3 linked regions of the Daphnia pulex genome follow. The main gene of each other region encodes a partner of the protein of the gene in region 2 in a complex. Links are inferred from orthologs where the notes say so. Each region holds a gene or a part of one and is shown on either strand. Other genes may lie near its edges. The genes, in order: integrator complex subunit 9-like, integrator complex subunit 2-like and integrator complex subunit 12-like.

What was found.
Region 1: integrator complex subunit 2-like (region 2) and integrator complex subunit 9-like share a complex: the UniProt entries of both Homo sapiens proteins name them as parts of the integrator complex. The link is inferred for Daphnia pulex from reciprocal best matches to the Homo sapiens genes INTS2 and INTS9.
Region 3: integrator complex subunit 2-like (region 2) and integrator complex subunit 12-like share a complex: the UniProt entries of both Homo sapiens proteins name them as parts of the integrator complex. The link is inferred for Daphnia pulex from reciprocal best matches to the Homo sapiens genes INTS2 and INTS12.

The regions. Positions count from the first base shown.
Region 1 is NC_060027.1:3,456,775-3,461,653, reverse strand, and holds integrator complex subunit 9-like, read left to right. Parts: upstream 1-1,776; 5' UTR 1,777-1,914; coding exon 1,915-1,923; intron 1,924-1,992; coding exon 1,993-2,187; intron 2,188-2,251; coding exon 2,252-2,454; intron 2,455-2,514; coding exon 2,515-2,716; exon of another isoform or gene 2,717-2,778; coding exon 2,779-2,912; exon of another isoform or gene 2,913-2,979; coding exon 2,980-3,092; intron 3,093-3,156; exon of another isoform or gene 3,157-3,165; coding exon 3,166-3,346; intron 3,347-3,414; coding exon 3,415-3,854; intron 3,855-3,930; coding exon 3,931-4,121; intron 4,122-4,185; coding exon 4,186-4,353; intron 4,354-4,423; coding exon 4,424-4,540; 3' UTR 4,541-4,578; downstream 4,579-4,879. UniProt on the Homo sapiens protein: Component of the integrator complex, a multiprotein complex that terminates RNA polymerase II (Pol II) transcription in the promoter-proximal region of genes.
Region 2 is NC_060027.1:806,054-810,932, forward strand, and holds the start of integrator complex subunit 2-like, read right to left. Parts: upstream 2,976-4,879; 5' UTR 2,861-2,975; coding exon 2,556-2,860; intron 2,495-2,555; coding exon 2,356-2,494; intron 2,295-2,355; coding exon 2,078-2,294; intron 2,022-2,077; coding exon 1,891-2,021; intron 1,828-1,890; coding exon 1,636-1,827; intron 1,567-1,635; coding exon 1,417-1,566; intron 1,335-1,416; coding exon 1,158-1,334; intron 1,103-1,157; coding exon 854-1,102; intron 792-853; coding exon 227-791; intron 151-226; coding exon 1-150. Other genes in the region: microtubule-associated protein 4-like, read right to left, coding at 4,367-4,569, 4,710-4,879. UniProt on the Homo sapiens protein: Component of the integrator complex, a multiprotein complex that terminates RNA polymerase II (Pol II) transcription in the promoter-proximal region of genes.
Region 3 is NC_060026.1:13,197,943-13,202,332, forward strand, and holds integrator complex subunit 12-like, read right to left. Parts: upstream 2,662-4,390; 5' UTR 2,540-2,661; coding exon 2,369-2,539; intron 2,315-2,368; coding exon 2,211-2,314; intron 2,153-2,210; coding exon 2,030-2,152; intron 1,972-2,029; coding exon 1,855-1,971; intron 1,791-1,854; coding exon 1,310-1,790; 3' UTR 1,232-1,309; coding exon of another isoform or gene 1,183-1,231; 3' UTR 1,149-1,182; downstream 1-1,148. Other genes in the region: eukaryotic translation initiation factor 2D-like, read left to right, coding at 1-401, 466-555, 626-898, 974-1,105, 1,183-1,231; adapter molecule Crk-like, read left to right, coding at 3,346-3,377. UniProt on the Homo sapiens protein: Component of the integrator complex, a multiprotein complex that terminates RNA polymerase II (Pol II) transcription in the promoter-proximal region of genes.

The sequences.
Region 1 (4,879 bases), about 2.7 Mb from region 2:
GTGTGTAATAACGACCTTATTTTCTTTCGGTGTGTGTGTGTTATCTCGCGGTTGCCAACTTTGATTCGTTTAAGTTTAAAGAAACCGGACGCGTCATTTTGTTTTCTAGATTTACTCTGGCCAAACTCGTTTGAATATCCGTAGGCTTTTTTATTTTTATTTGACGTTTACATTTTTGAAAAAAAGAAGTGGAGCAATTTTCTCCCACGTCCTTCAAATGATTCAATTGCATCCCCACCCCCTTGCTCCGTCCATTTAATCTAATCTATACGCCACACACGCTCAGACAGAGGCAGACATGCCCAATGTTGTTGCCTAGACACTCCCGAGCGCCAGCTGCATTATCGCTTATAACCTTTTGAACCGGCTGTAAAATAAATTCTTAACACACAGCGAGAGGGGGGGGGGAAGAAAAATTATATATATTTTGAATAGAAAAAAAAAGACTTTGAACTCTCTCTCTCCCCTCCCTTCTATCCGTTGATGGTTAAAACGGTCAGACGAGGTCACACACAACAAACACGTCGTAAGCAAGCTGCTGCTGCTTCCTCTTCTTTCTCTCTTCGAGTGTTGAGAGACACATCTCACATTGCTCCGGCTTCAATTTCTTGTAAGAGCCTTTAGCAGCAGCAGCTATCGTGTGTTGGAACACACATTTTTCTTCTTCTCTCGATAGATCACTCAACCGACCCAGCAGAGTATCGACATTTTTTTCTCTTTTTTCATTTCTGGTGAATAAGGGGGGAGGCCCCTGAGCTCTTTTGATTTCCCAACTACACTACTGTACTACTACTACCACCTACCCCATGGTATATATCAAACACACACACAAAAGCTTCTCTTTTTCATTCTTTTCTTTCCTTTTTGATATGGGAAAAGGGCCAGCAGCCGGGCAGATGTTTCCCATTTTGTAAAAGACCGTTCACTCTCTCCTTTTTGCTCACGTATATATATATATATACAGAGGAAAAATGCTCTCCCCTCTTTGGGTATAGTCGTTGGTCGTCTCCGACACCCATTTGTGATGTGTGTGTTGTGTTCCCCCCCATCGTATTTCATTTCCCTTTCTCTCCCCCTTAGTAACCGTGTCTGCTCTTATTTCTCTCTTCTCACACAGACACACAGCAGACTCCCGACCAAACACAGAGGCCAAGCCGATCATCGACCATGTTGTTTTCTTCATTTTCTTGCTTGGGTCTTGCTTATTGGATTCTTTTTATTGTGTGTGTGTTTTTTTTCTTCTGTTGTTGCAGGGGCATCAAATATATATAGGAGGCATTTCGACACCGGAAGCTGAAGGAGCATCACGTATCATCTCTCGCTGTGGAGAAAATGGTTCAATGACTTGGCCTTATCATTCACCAGTCCGGTTAGATTTTTTGGAAAGTTCCTTTTTCTTGGTTGCACCAAGATTTAGTTGAACACCCTACTGGACGGAGAACTGATAAGGGCGTGTCTTGCAACACAATCGACGAAATGGACGAATTTTTTTTTTTTGACAACCAACAAAACTGTATAGAGTGATATAATATTCTTTCGTTCTTAATCATTGACAAAATGTGTGTAACTTTGTAGCTTCTTTTGTTTCGCTTGTTTGTTGCGTATCCGATGGCGTTATTCAATACACATTCTCAAAAGCGAATATGTGATTCAGATTTCAATTTTTATTCTAGATTTATTTCTTTCGCGTTCCGGCGCTCTTATTTAAAAAAATAAAATAATAAAATAAAATGAACCTATCTTTTCAAGTTGAAAAATGACAACGCTGCATTGGGTTTTCAAATGTTAGTCTGCTAGCAGCTCGTGTAGTAAGTACGAACCGGACAAACAAACAAGTCTGGATCTGTCTGTCATATACCGAGTTTGAAATAAAAATTCTTTCTTGTCACTTTTCAGATAAAACGCGCCCACAACATGAAAATCGTAAGCATTTTAATATTTTCCTTTCACCGAAATGGAGCGGTCTGATAAACACAGTTTCTGTTTACATAGTACAGTCTGGGCGCCAACCCAAATAAACCCTGCAACATCTTGAATTTCAAAGGCGTTTCGCTGATGCTCGATTGTGGGCTGGATATCAACTCGGCCCTTCATTTTCTACCTCTGCCTCTCGTTGCCAGCAAAAGGCTCTCAAATTTACCAAACTGGATCCCGAGAGACACACAGGATGCTGCACTTCTTGATGGAGTGAGTTAGATTTGATCTCTTCTCTATCTTCGTGTCATTTCAAATGTTCATTTATCCTGTATAGGAACTGAAAGAATGTGAAAATCGAGTGTTGGTGGATGGCCCAATAGAGATACTGCCCCCTCAGTCAGACATTTTTGACATCTCTGATGTGGATACCATCTTGCTATCGAATCATGCCTGCATGCTGGCCCTGCCATTCATCACTGAAGAAACTGGCTTTAAAGGGAGGGTATATGCAACTGAACCCACCTTGCAGATTGGAAGGTATGCAACCTGCAATTGTTGTCACACAATATTGAGACTATATTGTATTCTTTGTCGTAGGCTCTACATGGAAGAACTGGTCAACTACTTGGAAAGGACTCCCAAAAATCAGCGAGCAAACAGATGGAAGCAAGTACTCCAGTCTCTTCCTCCTCCTCTCAGTGGGGCTCTGAGACCAAATGATTGGAAGAAAGTCTATTCCACAAAAGCCATCAATGCAGCCCTGGCAAAAGTTCGCATGGTTGGCTTCAACGAAAAAATTGTACGTCCTTTTTCGGATTTTTAAAAAATTCTTATGAAACAATATTAACCGACAACTTTTAGGATATCTGTGGTGCTTTAACTGTGATGGCCGTCAGTTCTGGATATTCCCTTGGTAGTTGCAATTGGATCATTCATTCCGGCTATGAGAAGATTGCGTACGTGAGCGCTTCATCTACTCTCACGACCCACCCAAGGTTCTATAAGCTTAATTAGTGTTACTTTTTTAACAAATTAATTTTATACCATTTTTTCCATATACAGGCCGATGGATCAAGTTGCCCTTAGAAATGCCGATCTCTTGATCTTGACAGCGTTGACTCAGACCCCCGTGGCCAATCCAGATTCAATGTTGGGCGAATTCTGCATGGCAGTTGGTAATTCAAATAGTAAAATTCTATTAAATTACATTAGAAAAAAACTAACAATGTTTCCTTAAACCTTTTGCAGCATCCACGTTACGATCGGGCGGATCTTGCCTAGTCCCATGTCACCCTTCCGGCCTTCTTTACGATCTGTTCGAATGTCTCTCAGTTCATTTAGACAATATTGGTCTTAGTCAGATTCCGCTGTTTTTCTTCTCTCCCGTGGCCGAAACTTCCTTGGCTTATTCCAACATCTTCGCTGAATGGTTCGGCTTGTCACATTTATTATTTTTCCGAAAATGTTTAGTCAACTTATCATCCTCATTTCATATAGGTTATCTTCAGGCAAGCAGAGCAAAGTTTATCTCCCAGAAGAACCATTTCCTCACGCCCATCTCATCAAAAATGGTCGACTGAAACACTTCCCAAGCCTGCATGCCGAAGGATTCACCAACGAGTACAGACAGCCATGTGTCGTATTTTGCGGTCATCCTTCCCTTCGTTTTGGCAATGTAGTTCACTTCATAGAGTTATGGGGCAGTCATAGCAACCACAGTATCGTCTTCGTTGAACCCGATTTCCCTTACCTGGAAGCGCTGGCCCCCTATCAACCACTGACCATGAAAATCGTTCACTGTCCCATTGACACGAGTTTGAGCTTCACTCAAGCCAATAAACTGATACGCGATCTCAAGCCAGGAAACTTACTCGTTCCAGACGTTTACCTCCACCCGCCAGTGTCGGCTCCCTTAAGATCAGACTTGGTTATTCAGGGTAAGTCTTCGATCGATTCCTGTTGAACTGGATCTAGTTGGCCAGTCAGTTAACCTTATTCTTTCTTTTTTTTTAGAATTGGATCCACCAGCATTGGGTATGAAGTCCTACCAGGTGTTACAGTTACCAATTAAGAGGAAGCAGGAAAAAGTGCATCTTGATCCGGCCCTGGCCTCTCGTCTCGAACCCATCCAATTTAAAACGGGCCTTTCAGCTTCTACTCTGACTGGAAAATTGGATGCTCGTGACAATAAATTTACTCTGAAAGTGAGTCCTTTGTTCTCCTAACTTGTGACAGTGTCTCATAGCTTTTTACTATTTTCAAATCTAGGTATTAAACGAAGAGGAAGGAGGCACATTGTACAGTGCGTCGGAGAGAATGCTGCCTCGCCATCCTTGGGGCTCTGTTGACACAACTCAACTGTTGCATTTGCTCAGTCAACATGGTTTGCTAGATGCTCGGGTCGAAGACACTCCTCGAGGCGTCGTCATTCACTTGGTACTACCCCGTATATCATTTTGTCATTTCAAGAGTCGTAATAACTTGTCTTTCCAATTTTGTCTTTTAGCCAAGAGAGGACACTGTGATTCAACTGGAAGGTTCCAACACTCATGTTTACTGCCATGATGAAGCGCTACGGAGAACTTTGAGGGATATTTTGCTACAATGTCTACCTTGTTTGTGAACATCACCATAAATACATTCGAATTTTTCTCTTATAAACCCAAGCATAAAAATAAATAGCAGGATAAATAATTGTAGAAAGTGACGGTCGTGAAAGATGTATCGACGGTTTACCCGTGTGAACAAAGAAATTCTGACGAAAGAACTGGGTTAAATTTGGAGTGCATTGAGCTTAACGACGTCCCTAGAATTTTAATTTAAAAATACTAAAATTTGTAAAGGAATCACGCGGAATTCTATTCGGGAAATGACGTCTATAGATTATAATTTTTCTTTTTTAAAAATATTCCAAAGTTATCACGTTGTGAAATGGCAATGCTGCATTTTATATCGTCTGTTG
Region 2 (4,879 bases):
TCACAGTCTGCGACGAACAAGTTGGAACAGATCCATGTGGGCTGCATAAAGAAGACAATTGGCTATCGTTGACTTCATACATCCAATCTTCCACCAAACACAGCTGTGGAAAATGAGTGGCTAAAAGCCGTAATAATGGTGAAAAGAGTCCTATCGATATTTGATAAATAACAAAGGATTAACATGCGGATTGGAGAAAATGGCCAATCTTGCTTTTAAATGTTACCCGCATAAAGGTGTTGTTCTTTTTCCGCTTGACTGATCAAATATCGAATAGGCAAATCGGCGAAGAACGACTGAGAATAGGATTTGATATTGATACCAGCCACCAAGTAGTTTTTGACTTGAGTCAGACGAGTATCCTCATACAGTAGAGCGTAATATAAAAGTAAAAGCTGGGCCGTGACGGAATGCTCCTGCCCGTCTGTGCTAGCTCGGCGAACGTTCCTGGAAAAACTGTTGGCGAACACAACTCGAATTTCCTCTTCGCTGATTGGGTCATGGCCAATGTCAATGGAACCAGCTACGCCCGATTGATTCTGTTGGTTTTTCGATGGAGATAACGTCAGGATCGAGCTAACATAAACTTCGACCAAACTAGGAAGAAGTGGATGCAATGGAGGACGGCTCTCGCAAAGCTGGCGGTAAACCCAGGTCTTGATCGGCACGCGATGCTTACTAAAAGCTCGGCTTTTCAACAACTGATAGATGCAGTGAACTGGAAGGAATCCTGCAACGTCTGCATTCAAACCGGGAGTGACGGGCACTCGGACAGCGTGAGATGTCACCACCTAACATTCGAATTTAAAAGGATAAGATTTTGACCAAATAAACTTGTTAACAAAGCTCAAACCTGCTCTGGGAATATGTCTTGAGTAAATGCCACCTTCATACGAGCAGTAGAAGCGGGCCGGAGTAAAAGCCTCATGCCAAGCGTTGAGCAGACCAGGTCGCAAACTGCGCTCAACTGTCCACTGTGAAAGTGGATAGCCATTAGTAATAACATCTCTCCAAAACTGCTCCTCGCTGTTTCCATGCACTTGCCAGAGGAAGTCGCTGGCGATTTTTCAAAGTAGCTTTCTTCCCTCACCAACCATTTCACCTAAAATCACAAAATATAACAACTGATATTAATTACGAATAACTTGCGATTATACCCATCGAAAACCGCTTTGTTCTTGGTCGGGCAAGGCGATGAGAGATGGACAAGCCATCAGCATGCAGAGTCCCAGGGCAACGAAACGAAGGCCAGCTTCGGTTGGCGGTGGACGACAGGTAATTAATTGCAATAAAAGCCCACCTTCTTCGTCGTACAACTTCATTCCTGCTATACCCTACAAATATTGAAATAAAGGGTTAGTTTTTCAATTCCAACACCCCTATCTAACATACTATTATTGGAATGAATAGAATTACTTTTAAAGCACAATACAGTCGTAAAAGGGCCGACGCATCAACAGCACAACGGTCAGGTAACGGCTCATCAGCAGCCATTTGAACAAACGACTGCAAACTTCTCAGTAGCTCTTGGCGTAAAGTATGTAACGCAGTGGCACGATCATGTCGCTGTAAAATAAGGAAATAGAGTTAAATACGTTGACGGCTAACATAAAGTACATTTAAAGAAAGCTAAACCTTTTGTCCATTCCTAATGAAAAGAGAAAACCAGGTGCGGATATTTGCATCTCCACCCAAAAGTAGACCAGAGATAAACGGTACGACATCTCCCAACTGGGTTTCAATTTTATCTGTTTTGATCATTTTATGGCAGGATGCATAGTCCAAACTAAGTAAAACAGCCAGAGCCGGCATTCTGCACATCTCCACCTGATAGGGAAAAAAACCTTAAACTAAAGAGAACAAAGCTTTGTCAGAGATAAAAAAACTTACACATTTAAGTTGGATCATCAAAATCTGATTTGGGCACATCCTGCAGAGGGATCTAAGTGTTTCTAATCTGGCCCGTCCAAGGAAGGATTCTTCTTCATATCTTTCACCATTGCTAATCAAACTCTGGCAAACTTGAAACAAACTACTTCTAAAATATAGTTCAAACCACACTTTGGAAAAATATTACCTTCATTGAAAGTATCAGGCATATTAGCCACTATTCGACATATGAAAGATGGACCGTGAAGTGTTCTCAAGAGAGCTTCTGCAACTTCTGTTATAGGTAGCAGAATTGTCAGCTCTGCTAAAGCAACACACAGCACATCAGCTACTTCATCAAAATAGATTTCCTGGTCCAACAGTTCACTGCTTTTGTATGTGGTTTCTGGTCTGATTTCTTTGCTCTAGAAATTAAAATAAGAAACAATAATATTGTGGAAAATGAATGCTTTATGAGGAATCTACTTGTGCCATGAGTGTGAGGAGCTCACTGAGAAACAGCCTTAATTTCCTCGTTGGATCACTCCTTTCAAATTCCAGTGCATAACTGTTTGATAGTGACTGAATCAAGACAGAGTCTTCAGTTTGATTACCAAGCTTTTGACTGCAATACAAATTTTGATTAAAAATAAAAGAAGTAGTCATAACAATAGTAAAGAAAATACCGTAGCATTTGTTCTTTCTTGACGTCAACCTCAAGAGCATGGAAATCAATTGAAAGTAACCCAACTATGGAATTGACAATTTCACGACCGGATAATATTTGGAAGACCATTCTTCGAGATTTGGTGCATTCACTAGATTGGTCCAGTGGGCCTATCAAACTCATTCTAGCCAAACATGGCATAACAGCTCGAATTTCTTCTTCGTTACATTCCGCTAAGTTATCTACATCCAAATTCTGTAGAGCTTGAAACACACGAGGCGAAACATTTCGTTTCGAAACGGAACGAATCGGTGGCATCGGCATTTTATTGGCAAAATATTGTGTTTTTAAGACCACAATCAATCAACAAATCGCCATGGAGTGGTTTACATAGCAAGCTTGATTTTCATGTGAACCATTGTGTTGTCAAGGCAACGAGCAGACGAAACTGATTCTGATCCTCTAGCGGCAAAACGTAGGAACTACAGTTTACACGGCGCCTTATTAGGGCGAATCCGGATTGCTCGGATAGCTCACGACTCACGTCATCCGACTGAGCAGATGACAAGATGATCAAAGCTACAAGGGGCACTAATGTTGCACTCAACGGACATGATAATAGCAAGTTATAAACTTATAATGATTTAAAAAGACGTTTCTCCCCATTGCTTTTCATTTATTTGCGCTACAATGTTGTAACTCGCACTTCTCACGTAATGGATTACAAAATGTGGAGGGTATTGCATCCAAAAGTTGAAGACGGAAAGGAAACACAATCTTTGAACGTATAAAAACGAAACTCATCCAATTAAAAAAAAAATCAGCGCAATCAATATTTTAAATTAATTACCATGTGGTTGTAAGAAGTAGAGAAGAGAGTAGGAAGAAGCAGCAGTGGACACAATCACCTCGGCTGGACATTGGCGTGACTATCAACAACAGAAAATAGGGGGGGGGGGGAGAGAAAAATAAAAGCAAAGGCAAACCGTTGCTGTGCGCGGCAAATTTGAAATTGAAAATCATGAAACCCCACAAACACAAAAGAGAAAACAAAAAGAAATTATGGAATCGAGCAAGAGGGGGAAAAAAAACGAAGGGACGACATTTTCTTTCATGACTTTTGACACGAATACAGTTAATAATAAAATAGGTGATTATTAGCCGAAAGAGCGTTGGTGGGTGGGAGTGCAGGGCGTGCGAAAGTAATATTTAGCCATTAGGGGGAAGTAAAAGAGGTTTTCACAATCCTTTTACATATTGTTGATGTTGTGTGTTGCCAAGAAAGAAATGTGGGGGGAGGGGGGATAGCAGTACATTAACTCACGCACACGCTTTCACACACGCTCACTCACACGCAGGGGGGAAAAATGATTGATGATTCTTGAATCTCTTCCTTGATATCTTTACAGGGGCCCGCAATCGCAACAAAGTTTTCACGTAGCCATTCTCCATTTCTTTATTTCCCTAGTACTTAAATTGTTCGTTTCTTCTCTCTTTCGGCTCGGATTCAACTATTTTGAAATCTTTAATTATTATTTTTTTTTTACCTTTATTGTCTTTTAGAAAATTGCAAACGATGGAGGAAAAAAAAACATTTAAAAGAAAAAACGAGAACGTTTAAAAAGCTGGCAGACGATGAATCATGAGCGAATGAAAGAGAGACGGGCGGTATACATAGCAGGCGGCGGTAGGGAGTTATTATAATATGGTTGGGCGTTTTCCACTCGTTATTTCCTTTTTCCCTCTCTATTTTTTTAAATCTCCTTGGTTATCTCGAACCTTTCACATTTAAAACACGCTTAATTCTGATGCTTTTTAACCTGCTCTACATTATTCCGCGTCGGCCGGTGCAGGAGCAAGAGCGACTTCGGGTGTTGCTGTGGTTACTTCGGGAGCAGCCGAAGCGCTGGATGCTGATTTGGCTGCTCCCGGCGATTTGGTTGCCGCACCAGTTTTGGTTGCACCAAGCTTGGAAGTTGATGTCGTCGTCTTTGCGATCGGCTTACCAGGCGTGGCCGTTCTGCTTGCAACACCTGGGAAGAAATAAAAAAATAAGAAAATGTAATTTAGGAGAGAGATAAAAGGTAGATGTTAAAAGTCAATCAAAACGCCCTTCTTTTCCAACACGCTCTGAACAACAACAACAACAACCGCAAAAACAATGAAACCTTACTCTTCAATGGCGCCGGGCGAGTAGGGGTGGCGGTGGTTGTTGCGGGTTTAGTGGCTGCGAGTTTGGTGCTGGCTGCGGTGGGTCTGGGAGTAGCGGATTTCGTAGCTGTGCCATTAACGATGGGCTTGGCCGTAGTGCGAGTCGTTGACGTAGCAGCGGGTTTCGGCTTG
Region 3 (4,390 bases), on a different chromosome or scaffold from region 2:
AACTATTGTTTCTTCAAAGCGCTCAAGACTAGTGCAAAGAAAATTGAACTTCCAGTCCTGACTAGTAATTTTTACCGGTTACACATTGTGCCGGCGTGTCCATCGGAGAAGACTCTGGACGTCAAGAAATCATCGTACAAGAAACTCTCAAAGTTTTTAGATACTCTAAAGAAGGAAGGAGTGATTGATGTCAAAGAATTTACCAAAGGCGTCGAGAGCATTTCTGCCATTCGATACGACCACGAAAGGGTCCGTAGTTTCCGTGTGGATATCAACGACAAACCTGAACCGGCACCTGCGCTTGAAAAGGTCGGAGAAATCGACAAATATCTTCCTCCTGTCATAACCCGGATGTACGCTATCAATGCCGTTTGTTTGCCGCTTTTCGCTGGAACTTATCGGTCAGTGTTGATTAACCAATGCCTTACATCCTGTGTCTAATATTTGAGGGTTTTTTTTTAATAGAAAGGGGACAAATTTGACGACGCAACAGATCCGCCAATACTTGACTGAATACGTCCGAGTGAACCAGCTACAAAATGCGACCAATCCTAGGTTTAAATAGATAGATTTCTTTCTTTCTAAAATGTTGTAGAAACTAAATTTATCACAATTGCTCGTGCAGTCAGGTGACGTTGGATCCCATTTTGAGTGACGTCATGTTAAAAAAAGGCGAAGTAGCAGCTTCGCTTAGCTGGGAAGAGCTAATGAGCCGCTGTCAAGCTAAACTTTCAACAGTTTATGAAATGATCTTCCCAAACCAGTCGGCTCCCGTCATCGTGAAAGGAGAGTTGGAGCCAGTCGAGATTACCACGGCATCGAGAGCTGGCAACAAGAAGGTCACCCTCATCAGTGGCCTTGAGACGTACAGGATCGACTTGGACGAATTTGCTCGAAGGTACCAATGGTCTCACATTCTTTAGGTGAAGGGGTCTCTTAAAAGTAAGCGAATTTCTCTTGTCTGTTTGAATAGGTGCCAAGTAGGCGTGGCGGCTAGCACAACAATAACCAGCTCTCCAGCTAAAAAGGGTCAATTGGTGTTGGTACAGGGTAACCAAATTAGTTTTGTCGGAAATTTGCTCATCGATGAATACGGAATTCCCAAGTAATTTTTTTAAAACTAAATAATAAAATAATAGAAATAAATATTAACTTTACAAAATTTTATCTTTTTTCTAACAGGCAATTTATCCAAGGATTCGACTTAAAAAAAGCCAAAAATAAAAAATAATTTTTGCGAAATTGTATAAGAGAATGGAATCCGAAATAAACAACACGGAAAGATGGTGCCTGTTTAATATACAACCGACTATTTTCCAGGTTTCCGTTTTTCTTGCAATTTTGTGGCAGCCCGTTTCTTAATGTTCTGCAGTCGTTTATCGGCGTTAATGAGGGATGTGTTGCCAATAGTATTTCCAGATGAAGAATTGCTACTGCTGCTCGATGAGCTTGTTGACTTACTTGAAGCACCGCTGCCGCCATTTGGCTTCTGGGGCAAGGTTTGCTGTTTGCTGAAGTTAACTACCAGGCCGGCTGAGCTTTTGCCACTCACGGAACTCGGAGAGTCAGATCGACTTTTATAGAAAGTGATGGGACTTTCCCTACTGCTACTTGATTTAGGTCGACTAGCGGTCTTTTTCATTGACTTGCTACAATCGGAACAGAAAAAGACGGATCGAGGATCGTTAACTTCGGCGTCGCTAATATTCGGTTGGTGGCATTCCTGGTGATAAAGGCCGTGACATTCTTGGCACTCTACGAGCTGATTTCCAGAAGTAACATCCAGGCCACTGTTACGTAGAGAGAGGAAAAAGTTTGAATATTTTTATCACTATAACAAACAATAAGACTTACGTGCAAATAACACAGTGAAGATCCATAATTTCCTGAGCCAAGTCATCGGCGTCATTCAAAGAATCGAGGTCGTCGCTTTTTCGAGCCACACTTGGAGATCTCGAATTTCGTGGTGAACTAGGAAAATATAATTTTAAAAATAAAATTAATAAATAAGAAATCAAATGGAAAACACCTCCCAGCTGGTGAGCCAGGCTGTGAAGAACGAGGGGAATCTTTGAATTTCTTTGGAACAACTTCATCATCATTGAACATGTTATCATGTTTTCGCTTAGATTCCTTGTTTTTCTCAAGAACACTGTAATACAAGACTTAGTTAACTAGTATAAAGTTTATCCAAAACTGTGGATACATACCTAGAAGATGGAGATGAAGGTTGTGAAGATCGAGGAGATTCCTTCCTTCTTTTACTGAGAGGAACATCTTCATCAATGAAGAAGTCACTTTTCTTCTTTGTTTCCTGTAATGCAAGAGATTTAATCACAACAGCATAAAAAAAGTAAAAATATATTACCCTTTTGATCATCGTCAAAGGTGGTGGCAACTTGCTGACAGAAGAGTTGGTTTCATTCTTTAATCTTATGGCTTCATCCAACATAGATTTCAATTGGTCACCAGAATCTTTAGCACTAGAATGCAAAAGACTGATAGCTTTAATTAAATATGGTTCAATAAGACCATCCATTATCAAACTTAGAATTTAAAATATTAATAATAGTAAATATTTGTAATGAGTTCTTGGAGCTATTTTCAAAGCAAACCATTCACGACAGCACTTCTGTCCGAATCAACATCAACTTCAAAATAAATGTGAAGAAGGAAATGGCCCTCTGGTGGCAGATTCAATAAATTGTGCAATTTTATTTTCAACACTTTCTTTTTATTAATGAACAAAAAGTATGCAAATTTTGACACCAAATTTAATTAGCGCGCAATGTGATGTCTTATTTTTAAAAAAGAAAGAAATTCGGAGTTTTATCAAGAATTCTATAAATAGCGATAAGACTCAGCGATGACACCTAGCGGTAGTTTGCTAACGACGGCTTAGATAGATTTGTGAGTCTAGCCAGAAAGACATTCATATTCTGCTTCTGCACAGACGGACTCGCTGTTGCTGGTTTGGTTTTAGCTTTCGACGAGTTATTTTTTAACACAAATTTTTAGGATCAAGATAGCCGTTGTTCTTCTCTCTGTGATTACCTCACAACGAAAAGGAGATGTGTAGTTGATTTGGTGATTATAGAATCCGTTTGAACGATCGAAAGGTTACTAGTTATATCACGTCTCCTGTGATGATTACATATCAAAGTGATGTTATATGTGCTGTATGAGGTTCAGTGAGGATGTGAGGCCTGTTGGACACGGTTGTCGATTGTTTTCAAGTCGAGATAAAAGACATTTAGTCACCTCACAAAAGGGTGTGAGGGGATTTTCTAATTGACGAACAAATTCTTGGATTGTGCAAGCTTCCACCCCATTTCGCTTGCTGCCATGTCTACATTTGAGCCAGCCGACAGGAACAGGTAAATCATTTAAATTCCTTTTTAATCTCTAACAGGTCATTTGTTTCATTCCTTCATCAGCCAGAAGTTGGTGTGAATTTCTCAGGAAATTGCTGTTTGTTTGTGTTGGCTGCAACCACCAGATAACTTCTAGCTTCTAAATTTAGGTTTCAAGTAAAACCCCCCAGCCAGACGGTAAAGAAAAAAAAGGAAGATTGTTTAGAAATGAGAGAATCAGTGATGCATCCTGCATCCTCGATTTAGAAAGTCTCTCATATTGCCAATGTCCTTATTCTCTCTCTCAATTAAATGACTGATTCCTGACAGATGATGATCATGAAGATTAACTCCTCTACTGCCTTTTTCTCTACATCCTGCTGGTCGGTCCCCTCTCTCCCGTATATCCGGAGAGTCATCTAAGATAGGCCATGGATTTTCCGAGGGGTGGGCGTCGTGATAAATATTTAGATGTTGTATGGGGCAAAGGGGTGGTGGTAGAAACAGGCGCCGGTGGTAGATGACGCAGCTGGAATCTCGGATGATCACATATGTGTTGGTTTTAATACGAGTGAAAATGGCGACGCATTCCCGAGAAAGAAAAAAGCCCCAAAAAATGATGAAGTCTGGGAGAGGATGTGATGGTGTGGTATAGGAAGTGAGTGCGTGTATGTTGTTTGGAAGGGGGGAACACAGTGGTGAGAGAAGAAGAGGGAAAAAACGCGAGAGAGAGAAAGAGAGAGAGAGAGCCATTTAGATATGGCCGGATGCGCTCGACTCGGCCCGCCCGGCAGCGGTATGTACGGCAGCAGCAGCAGAGAGTTGATTGGGTCTTCCTCCTTCTCCACCCTTCCTGAGAGTTGTCTACAACAACAACGACGACGACGACTCATTCGCACGAAGAAAATAAAGGTCTCGTGTGTGTGTCTCTTCTCATTTTGTATCGACGCCTCTTAGGTAAAATAAGGAGCCAACAGAACAGATTTTTTCCAACAAAAAATGTCAGCCCTTTTTTCTCGCTCCCAAGTTTGTTTCCC